Linked DNA regions of Mus musculus. The protein of the gene in region 2 purifies or fractionates together with the protein of the main gene of each other region. This does not show direct contact. Links are inferred from orthologs where the notes say so. Each region holds a gene or a part of one and is shown on either strand. Other genes may lie near its edges.

Region 1 (3,520 bases), on a different chromosome or scaffold from region 2:
TGGGATTCAGTTCCCATCAGCCACATGGAGGCTGACATACTCTTCTGGTTTCTAAAGGAACCAGGAATGCACACTGTGTACTTGTACATATGCAGGCAAAACACTCATACATATTAAATTAAATTAACTGTTCACATAGAAACTGAAGGAGAAAACCATCTCATTTGGCTTCTAAGGTGAACTTTGTGATTAATAGGGTTGTTAAAACTTGCTACACTGCCTCCTAGGGACTTCTAACAATAACTGTTCTCTAGACATTTGGCCAAGGGCTAAGCAGTAACAAAGCAGACCTGAGATTCAATTCCTTAAAAAAAAAAAAAAAATCTGTTTGTAAGGTTAGCCTTAGACTGAAATCTGAGAACTGACAGGTTCCCACATCTATATAAAACCTTCCTGAAATGATAACACTGGTTCAGTTTATCTAAACTGATAACACAAACATCCTGATTTTTACTGAATTTATACTTACTCTTCCTAGGAATCCAGAATTTGAATGACTATATAGCCACTTTCATTAACTCTTGATAACATATCACATGTTTTCAATCTTCCTGCTGAAGAAATTAAATGTCCCAAGGCTGGAGAGATGTCTCAGCAGTTAAGAGCACTTGTTATTTTTGCAGAGGACCCGAGGTCATTTCCTAGCACCCACATGGTGGCTCACTAACTCCATTTCCATGGGATCCAACACTTTCTTCTGTCCTCCACCAGTACCAAGAACACATATATTACATAGACATATAAGCAAGCAAAATACTCATACACATAAAATGAGATAAACTAATCTAAGAAAAAGAACGTAATGTCCCAGGTGAATCCCCTGGAAAAGGACCTTTGGAAATCTGTGCTTAATCTCCCCCTTACATCTTCCAATTTCAACCCATATGTCTTTTCGCTGTATGTTCAGGCTTATAAGGTCACCTAGCACGTCAAGGAACCTAGACTCTACTCTGTCTTGGGAATCTCCAACACAACTAAGTAACAATATACAGGTTTTCCTATCACTTAAACTCATACTGTCCATCCAGTATGGAAAGCCACCAAAACCCACTGTTAACAAACAGAATTACTGGATTACTTACGAAAATAGATCAAACCACTGCTGTTTTGTTACAGATTCCTGGCGTAAAAGCTTCAAAACAATTGGATGCATGAAGTCCCACTTGTCTTCAAACTGGAGAGAACCTTTATTCTTAAAAACAAAAGAGATAAAATATGGCTTGTTTTAAATCAATTAAATACAAAAGTTTCACATACTTTTATCTAAAAATATCTCTTAAAAGATGCCTGAGACTGGGCGTGGTGGCGCATGCCTTTAATCCCAGCATTTGGGAGGCAGAGGCAGGCGGATTTCTGAGTTCGAGGCCAGACAAAGTGAGTTCCAGGACAGCCAGGGTTATAGAGAAACCCTGTCTCGAAAACCAAAAAAAAAAAGAGCCCAGAAAAATAGAGAGATCAAATTTAAAACAAATACCTTTCCAAAACAAGAGTTCTTATAGGGTTAATCTTATAGCAGGGAATCAAAGATAACTATAAACACAAATCAGGGCTGATTTATAGGTCAGAATTATAGGCTGTGCGTGAGTCCCAGGGGTCAATCCTAGGAGAAGGGGGAAGAAACAGACAGCAATACTAAGATTAAAGTGGAATGCACAGGGAAGAATTTGTTATAAAGAGTGTGGCCTTCCCTCTTGGTTCCTTCCGGCAGATAATCCATGGTCAATGGGAATGTGTACCTAAAATGAACCTTAGCTAACAAATGTAGTTTTGGTAGGGGACTGGCAGGGTCAACATGGTCTCAAAAGTGGGGCTGGCCAATTTAAAAGATTAACAATGTAATTTAAAGAAGGGCTTTGTGTCAATGTAGAGTTCAAAGTACTCATGGACATAAACATTCTCGTCTTTGTGAAGAAATTCCACACAAATTGGACAGGAAGAAAGTTAGATTAGCTTCCTTAGGCATAATTTGTGTATATTGTCATACACTGACCACGGGAAGGATAACAGAAACTACACTCGGGACCTCCTAGACTCCGTCCTATACTTCTCTCTCTTAAGCTGATCTTGAACTGAATGTTGCAGCTACATAACAAATAACAGTAATTATGCCAGCTTGCAGTAAAGCCTGAGTCTTTCTGGTGTTGAAAATGAATGGGTATCTTACAGAGAGACTTAATCCTCTAATTCTGAAGCTGTACTCAACTCTTCCCACTGTAAAGCTGTCAGCTGCAGAGAGAGCGCAGCATTTAACAGCACTTACTACTCTTGCAAAGAACTGGGTCTAGACGCTAGCATTGGTGGTAACTCAACTCTCTGCAACTCCACTTCTAAGGGATCTGACTCCTTCTTCAGACTTCAGGGACCCCCATCATGCACATATTACACATACATGCATGTAAAATATTTATGTCCATGGATGATGTGTTTTTAAAAATGGGAGGGAGGGAGGCTGGGTGTGGTGGCTGAACTTGGAAACAGAAACAGATAAATGTCTGTGAGTTCAAGGCCAGCCTGATCCACATAGTGAGTTCTAGGACAAGCTATAGCTACAAAGACCCAGTTCAAAGAAACAAAATAAAACATTATAAACCCACAAAAGCCCACCAGGCAGTGGTGCCACTCACCTTTAATCCTGCTGTTTTGTTTTGTTTTGACCAAGACAGGGTTTCTCTGTATATCTCTGACTGTCCTGAACTCATTCTGTAGACCAGGATGGCCTCAAACTCAGAGAGTCATTTACCTCCCAAGTGCTGGGTTTAAAGGTATAGGCCATCACCACCCAGCTTACTTCTAATTCTTAATATATCATGTTATATAAATAATTACCAAGTGACAAGGAAAATATCTGTATACATTTAAAAGTCTAAATTTTTTTAAGTACTTAAAAAAAGTACTTTGACCCACAGTTGGTTGAAATCAATGCCAAAAGAAAAGATTTCATCTTACAATGCTAATAAAATCTTGACATCAAATTTGAGAGCAGCATAAGACACAAAGGAAACATATACAAAGATTTAAATGAGCACTATCAAATAAGTATATGAAAACACTAGTTCATCCTAACCATTTTGTCCTATGAATAGTATCTTATTAGGAGGAAAAAACAAATTAATTAGTCAGGTACTAGACAGAAAGAGGGAACAACCTCATTTGCACCAGTCAAGAGCTTAGCTCCTATTCAGGCTAAATGTATTTATACAACTTGTTCTGGCCAATAAATTTCATTCATTTCTTTTCTTTTTTGACTCCTCCCCCTCCCATTCATTTTCTAGTAAAGTAGCACTATTTTATGAAACTCATGATTTGTTTCTATATAGCTTACTTTTTACAGTTCTACCTATTTACTTTACATCTTCCTATGCAGGTGCATTTGGAGGTCAGAGAACAATTCCTGAATGTAGGCTCTCTTCTACCGTGAGAGTTGCAGAGAACTGAGCTCAAGTTCTCAGGCCTGGCAGCAAGAGCTTTAGTAGCTGGTCTGACCTGCCAGACCACACAAGTGTTTTTAAGGATACTGCTT
Region 2 (4,226 bases):
AAAGTAGAATTTATCTAATACACTCTAGTGCAGCTTTAGTTGGCAAATCAATAGGGAAAGGCTGTCTGGACTCAGACATTCTAAAGCGCTCTCTCTAAGGAAGGTTTTTCTGTGTGGGCGATTGTTGCCATGTCATGGTCCTCTGAAATAATTACAGCTCAGGTATTCTTGGTTAGCAACAGTGTAATCTTGAGTCAAAGATAGTATTCTGAGTCAAAAATGGCTCAGCGAGACCATCCATTCTAGCTGGGTAGTGGTGGCCGATGTCTTTAATACCACACTCAGGAGGCAGAGGCAGGCAGATCTCAAGACCAGCCTGATCTACAAAGCCAGTTTCAGGACAGAAAGGGCTACTCAGGGAAACCCTGTCTCGAAAAACCCTATCTCAATTACCTATTCTAGACTGGCAGCCATATCTTGTAATTAGAGCTTATTATAGTCAACTCTTTGAAAGGATAGTGTTCCTGCAGGGAGGCAGCGGTCACCTTGCTCCAAGACCAGCCTGTTCTGAGCCAAACCGGCCTTGTCCTGAATCACAGCACAGCTGTGGCGCTTAGAACAATGTTCACAAATGCTTTCGTAATTTTCATCCACTGCTTTTTCTTTTCCATCCGGAAATGTATCCTTCTTAACAGAGAGGAGGCACGATTGCAAGAGGTGCTTCCACTTCAGGTTGTATAAAGATGTAGGTAGCGGGGATGCTAAACTATGATTACTCTAAATAACTTAGTTCCCACTGGTGAGGTGCTCCTGAACAGAGAGCAGATTCACTGCTCCCTTGGGGTAAAAGAGATCAGAGACAGACAGGTCCCCGTCATGTGCTCTCTGACAACAACCTCACAGGCACACGATGCACACACACACACACACACTCACACTGACATGCATGGACAGAAACCCGTGGAGACCTCGAGGCACCCACTAGCAGACACCTTTAGAGGTGCACTTGTCCATGTGTCCACTTGGTGCTGAAACTCACAACTACCTGTAACTTTAGTTACATCTGATGCCTACATGAACACATGAACATGCTAAGCTCTCACGCTAGCATTCAAAGCTCTGTGGAGCTGTGGGACAAATTCTCGTTTCCAGGCAGGGATTCAACACTTCCCACACCAATCTGGAGCCAACTCCTGTTACGCACTGATACAGGGGAGGGAGTAAACACTGACCACGCCCCTCCTCTCTATGCCATTCTTCCATTGGTTTGCAGGAGCAAACCTCTCCCCCCCCCTTCGGTTTCTTCTGGCTCGGCCTTCGGACCTCCATTGGCTTAGGCAACAAGTCCTCCCAGGAGAGGCGGTGGGCGTGGTGCGGAGGCGTAAAGAAATAGATGGGCGAGCTTGCTAACCAATGAGCATGTGTATATACCTCAGCAACTGAGGCTCGCCAATGGCAAGGTAAGGTGGGCGGGGCTCTTCAGCTGTCAAGCTCCCCCGACCGGTGGAGCGTTCGAGGGGCCCGCGGCGCTCGGGGACCCTCCGCCGCCTGCGCGCAGCCTTGGGCCGGTATGGGCGGGGTGGCTGGGCCGGCATGATGAGCTCCCTGGGCAGCCCGGTGCGGGCCTACGATTTTCTACTTAAGTTCCTGTTGGTGGGCGACAGCGACGTGGGCAAGGGAGAGATCCTGGCCAGCTTGCAGGACGGAGCAGCCGAGTCTCCTTACGGCCACCCGGCGGGTGAGCGCGGCTGCAGCACCCGGAGGCGCAGCGCTGGGGTGTCGGTGCGAGCGGCCTCTCCAGCGTGGGTCCCGGGAGCGGCTGGGCAGGGCTAGGAACCGCATGCTGGGGAAGACTGCGCTCTGTGGACGGAGTCCGCAAAGCAGCTCAGGGTGGTCGTCGAGGGACATCGCAGGTGCTAGCTACGTGTTCGGAGAAGTGTGTGGGATTACAGGAGGCGTGGGCAGAGAGACAGCGGTCCACGGAGCTGAGGTCTGAGACCACAGTCTCTGAGGCTATGACCTTTTGGTGCGTGGAACTGCAAGCAGAGAGTAGCAAGACTAGACTCCAGCCTTTGATTCCAAGCACTAAGCTCTGTGTCCTAGTGGACAGGACTTCCAAGAGGAGGAAGAGGAATCTAAGTGACCCTGTAGAATTGGCTAGGGTGTAGGAAGGAACCCAACTAAGAGACTGGAGTCCAGGAGACTGGACACGGGTGAGACCAGAGCGTCTCAGGCTCCAGGGCAGTGAGCAGTGAGTGTCCTAGAAGCCTGAAGTTTAAGATCTTGCACCCCAGAGGAAGGAGACAGAGTGGCAGAATCCTGAGCAGAACATCCAAGAATAGTCACGTAGTGATCCATCCCTTTGACTGTGGCTGTGCACAGACTTCAGTGAATGCCTATTGTGTTGTTGTGGGGGTTTCAACACACCTTTCTAATACAGACCCTGCCCTGAGGCCTGCCACCCTCTGTTCTTTGGGCTTGCAGACTGCTTCCTGCATCTCCAGCCCCCTGGCAATGCCACAAGGCAAGGCCCTAAAACTGTGTGGTCCAATGCCATTTAACTACCAGGTTGGACCGCACAGATTTAGACCTTTCCTTTAGGACAAAGCTCTGTTGGACAGCATTACTGCGAGAACAAGGGCGTGACTGAAGACAGGGCTGTCTTCAGGTCCTGGTGCTCAATGAAACACCCAGGCTTCAGCAGAGGCAAAAGAGTAAAACGTTTAACAAGCCCCCAAAGGGGACGTGAGTCCCACAGTAAATGACTGATGTGGGCAGAGAGAAAGATGTGGATGACATGTGAGCAGACTTGCTGCTGGTTGGCTTGAGCAAGGCCCACTGCACTTCTGTTGCTTTTGTCTGTTTTCTGTTGTCAACATGGTCTAAGAGATTGAGGAGAATTGATGCCGTAGTTGTGGCCATTGTGGCTTTTTGATTTACTACATATTTCTCTTAGGGCTAAGAAAAGAGCATGGGAAGAGCAAGCCAGGTATGGCAGCTCACACCTGTAATCCCAGCATTCAAGAAGCAGGGGGGTGGGGGTGGGGAATTGCCATGAGTTTGAGGCCAGTCTGTGCTACAGTATGAGACCCTGTCTGGGGAAAAAAAAACAAAACAAAATGGGAGGGAGTAAATTAGGGAGGGGAGATAAAAAAAAAAGCAGGAAAATAAACAAGTAGGGGTGAGGTAAACGTTATGAAGCTTGGGTCATTATTTTGTTATAAAGACATTCTCTCAGTCTCTGAGTGTCTCTCTCAGTGCTCTGGCAGTGGAAGATGCGGTCTTCCCGGCTTCATGCTCCACTCTCGGTTTCATGCTCCACTCTCTTCTTCCATGTCCGGGTTTTGTAGCCCACTTTGCAATTTCCATACTTCAGAGGTTTGGAACGCTCAGTTTCATTTTGTAGATCTAATACCGGTGCTCAGTATTCATGCAGTATTTAAATGAATTCAGAGCCAGGCATTGGTGGCAGCACGCCTTTAATCCCAGCACTCGGGAGGCAGAGGCAGGCGGATCTCTGAGTTCAAGGCCAGTCTGGTCTACAGATTGAGTTCCAGGACAGCCAGGGCTACACAGAGAAACCCTGTCTCAGAAAAAAAAAAATGAGTTCAGTGTTGGCTAACTCTTAACTATAGCTACTCCTGAGTTTAAAACCTTCTGAGTTGCTTGTGCTGAGACTATGTTGTCTGTCTTTGGCTGCACACAGTGTTCTTAGACTGTCCTGCTCTTTCCCCTCAATACCTGGTAACTTGTTCACAGTCTTTCTGGTATCTGATGTTGTTATGGTGAAAACATCATGCCAACTGATTTTCTAAATGGGAGATTTGCCTTTCTTTAGGAATTTTTGAAGACCGTTTTTCTTTGCCTTACCTTGCTTAATCAGGCCATGACTCAAAATTTTTGATATGTGTGTATTTTGAATTCTAGATAAAAAAAATTCCTTTCTTAATTTCAGAGGAATTTGATTTGTGTCCGTAAAATATCTCCCATTGCTTTTGTGTTGATTTCTCATTTGCTGTTACGAAAAATGACTACAAGCTGGCTTAAAGCAGCAAGAGTTTATCCTCTACGCAGTTTGGCATCAGTAGAACATTTCTACATGGAGCACAGGGAAAATGTCTTCTTATCTTTTTCAGCTTTCAGAACCTTCCTGCACTCTGGGGTTCTTGGCCCCTTTCTTGGTCTTCAGAGACATTGGCCTGTGATCTTTCTCAGGCCTTCTCTCTAACATGAACTCTCCTGCCTACTTTTTTTTTTTTTTGAAGATTTATTTTATGTATATGAGT

Evidence for each region.
Region 1: the proteins of Rab40b (region 2) and Cul5 purify together in Homo sapiens (affinity purification with mass spectrometry; 5 studies listed by BioGRID and IntAct, counting the BioPlex papers as one, with this or other methods). This does not show direct contact. The link is inferred for Mus musculus from reciprocal best matches to the Homo sapiens genes RAB40B and CUL5.

What each region holds. Positions count from the first base shown.
Region 1 is NC_000075.6:53,657,489-53,661,008, forward strand, and holds part of Cul5 (cullin-5), read right to left. Parts: intron 1,193-3,520; coding exon 1,083-1,192; intron 698-1,082; exon of another isoform or gene 470-697; intron 1-469. UniProt on the Homo sapiens protein: Core component of multiple cullin-5-RING E3 ubiquitin-protein ligase complexes (ECS complexes, also named CRL5 complexes), which mediate the ubiquitination and subsequent proteasomal degradation of target proteins.
Region 2 is NC_000077.6:121,385,450-121,389,675, reverse strand, and holds the start of Rab40b (ras-related protein Rab-40B), read left to right. Parts: upstream 1-1,424; 5' UTR 1,425-1,533; coding exon 1,534-1,678; intron 1,679-2,471; exon of another isoform or gene 2,472-2,531; intron 2,532-4,226. UniProt on the Homo sapiens protein: RAB40B small GTPase acts as substrate-recognition components of the ECS(RAB40B) E3 ubiquitin ligase complex which mediates the ubiquitination of target proteins.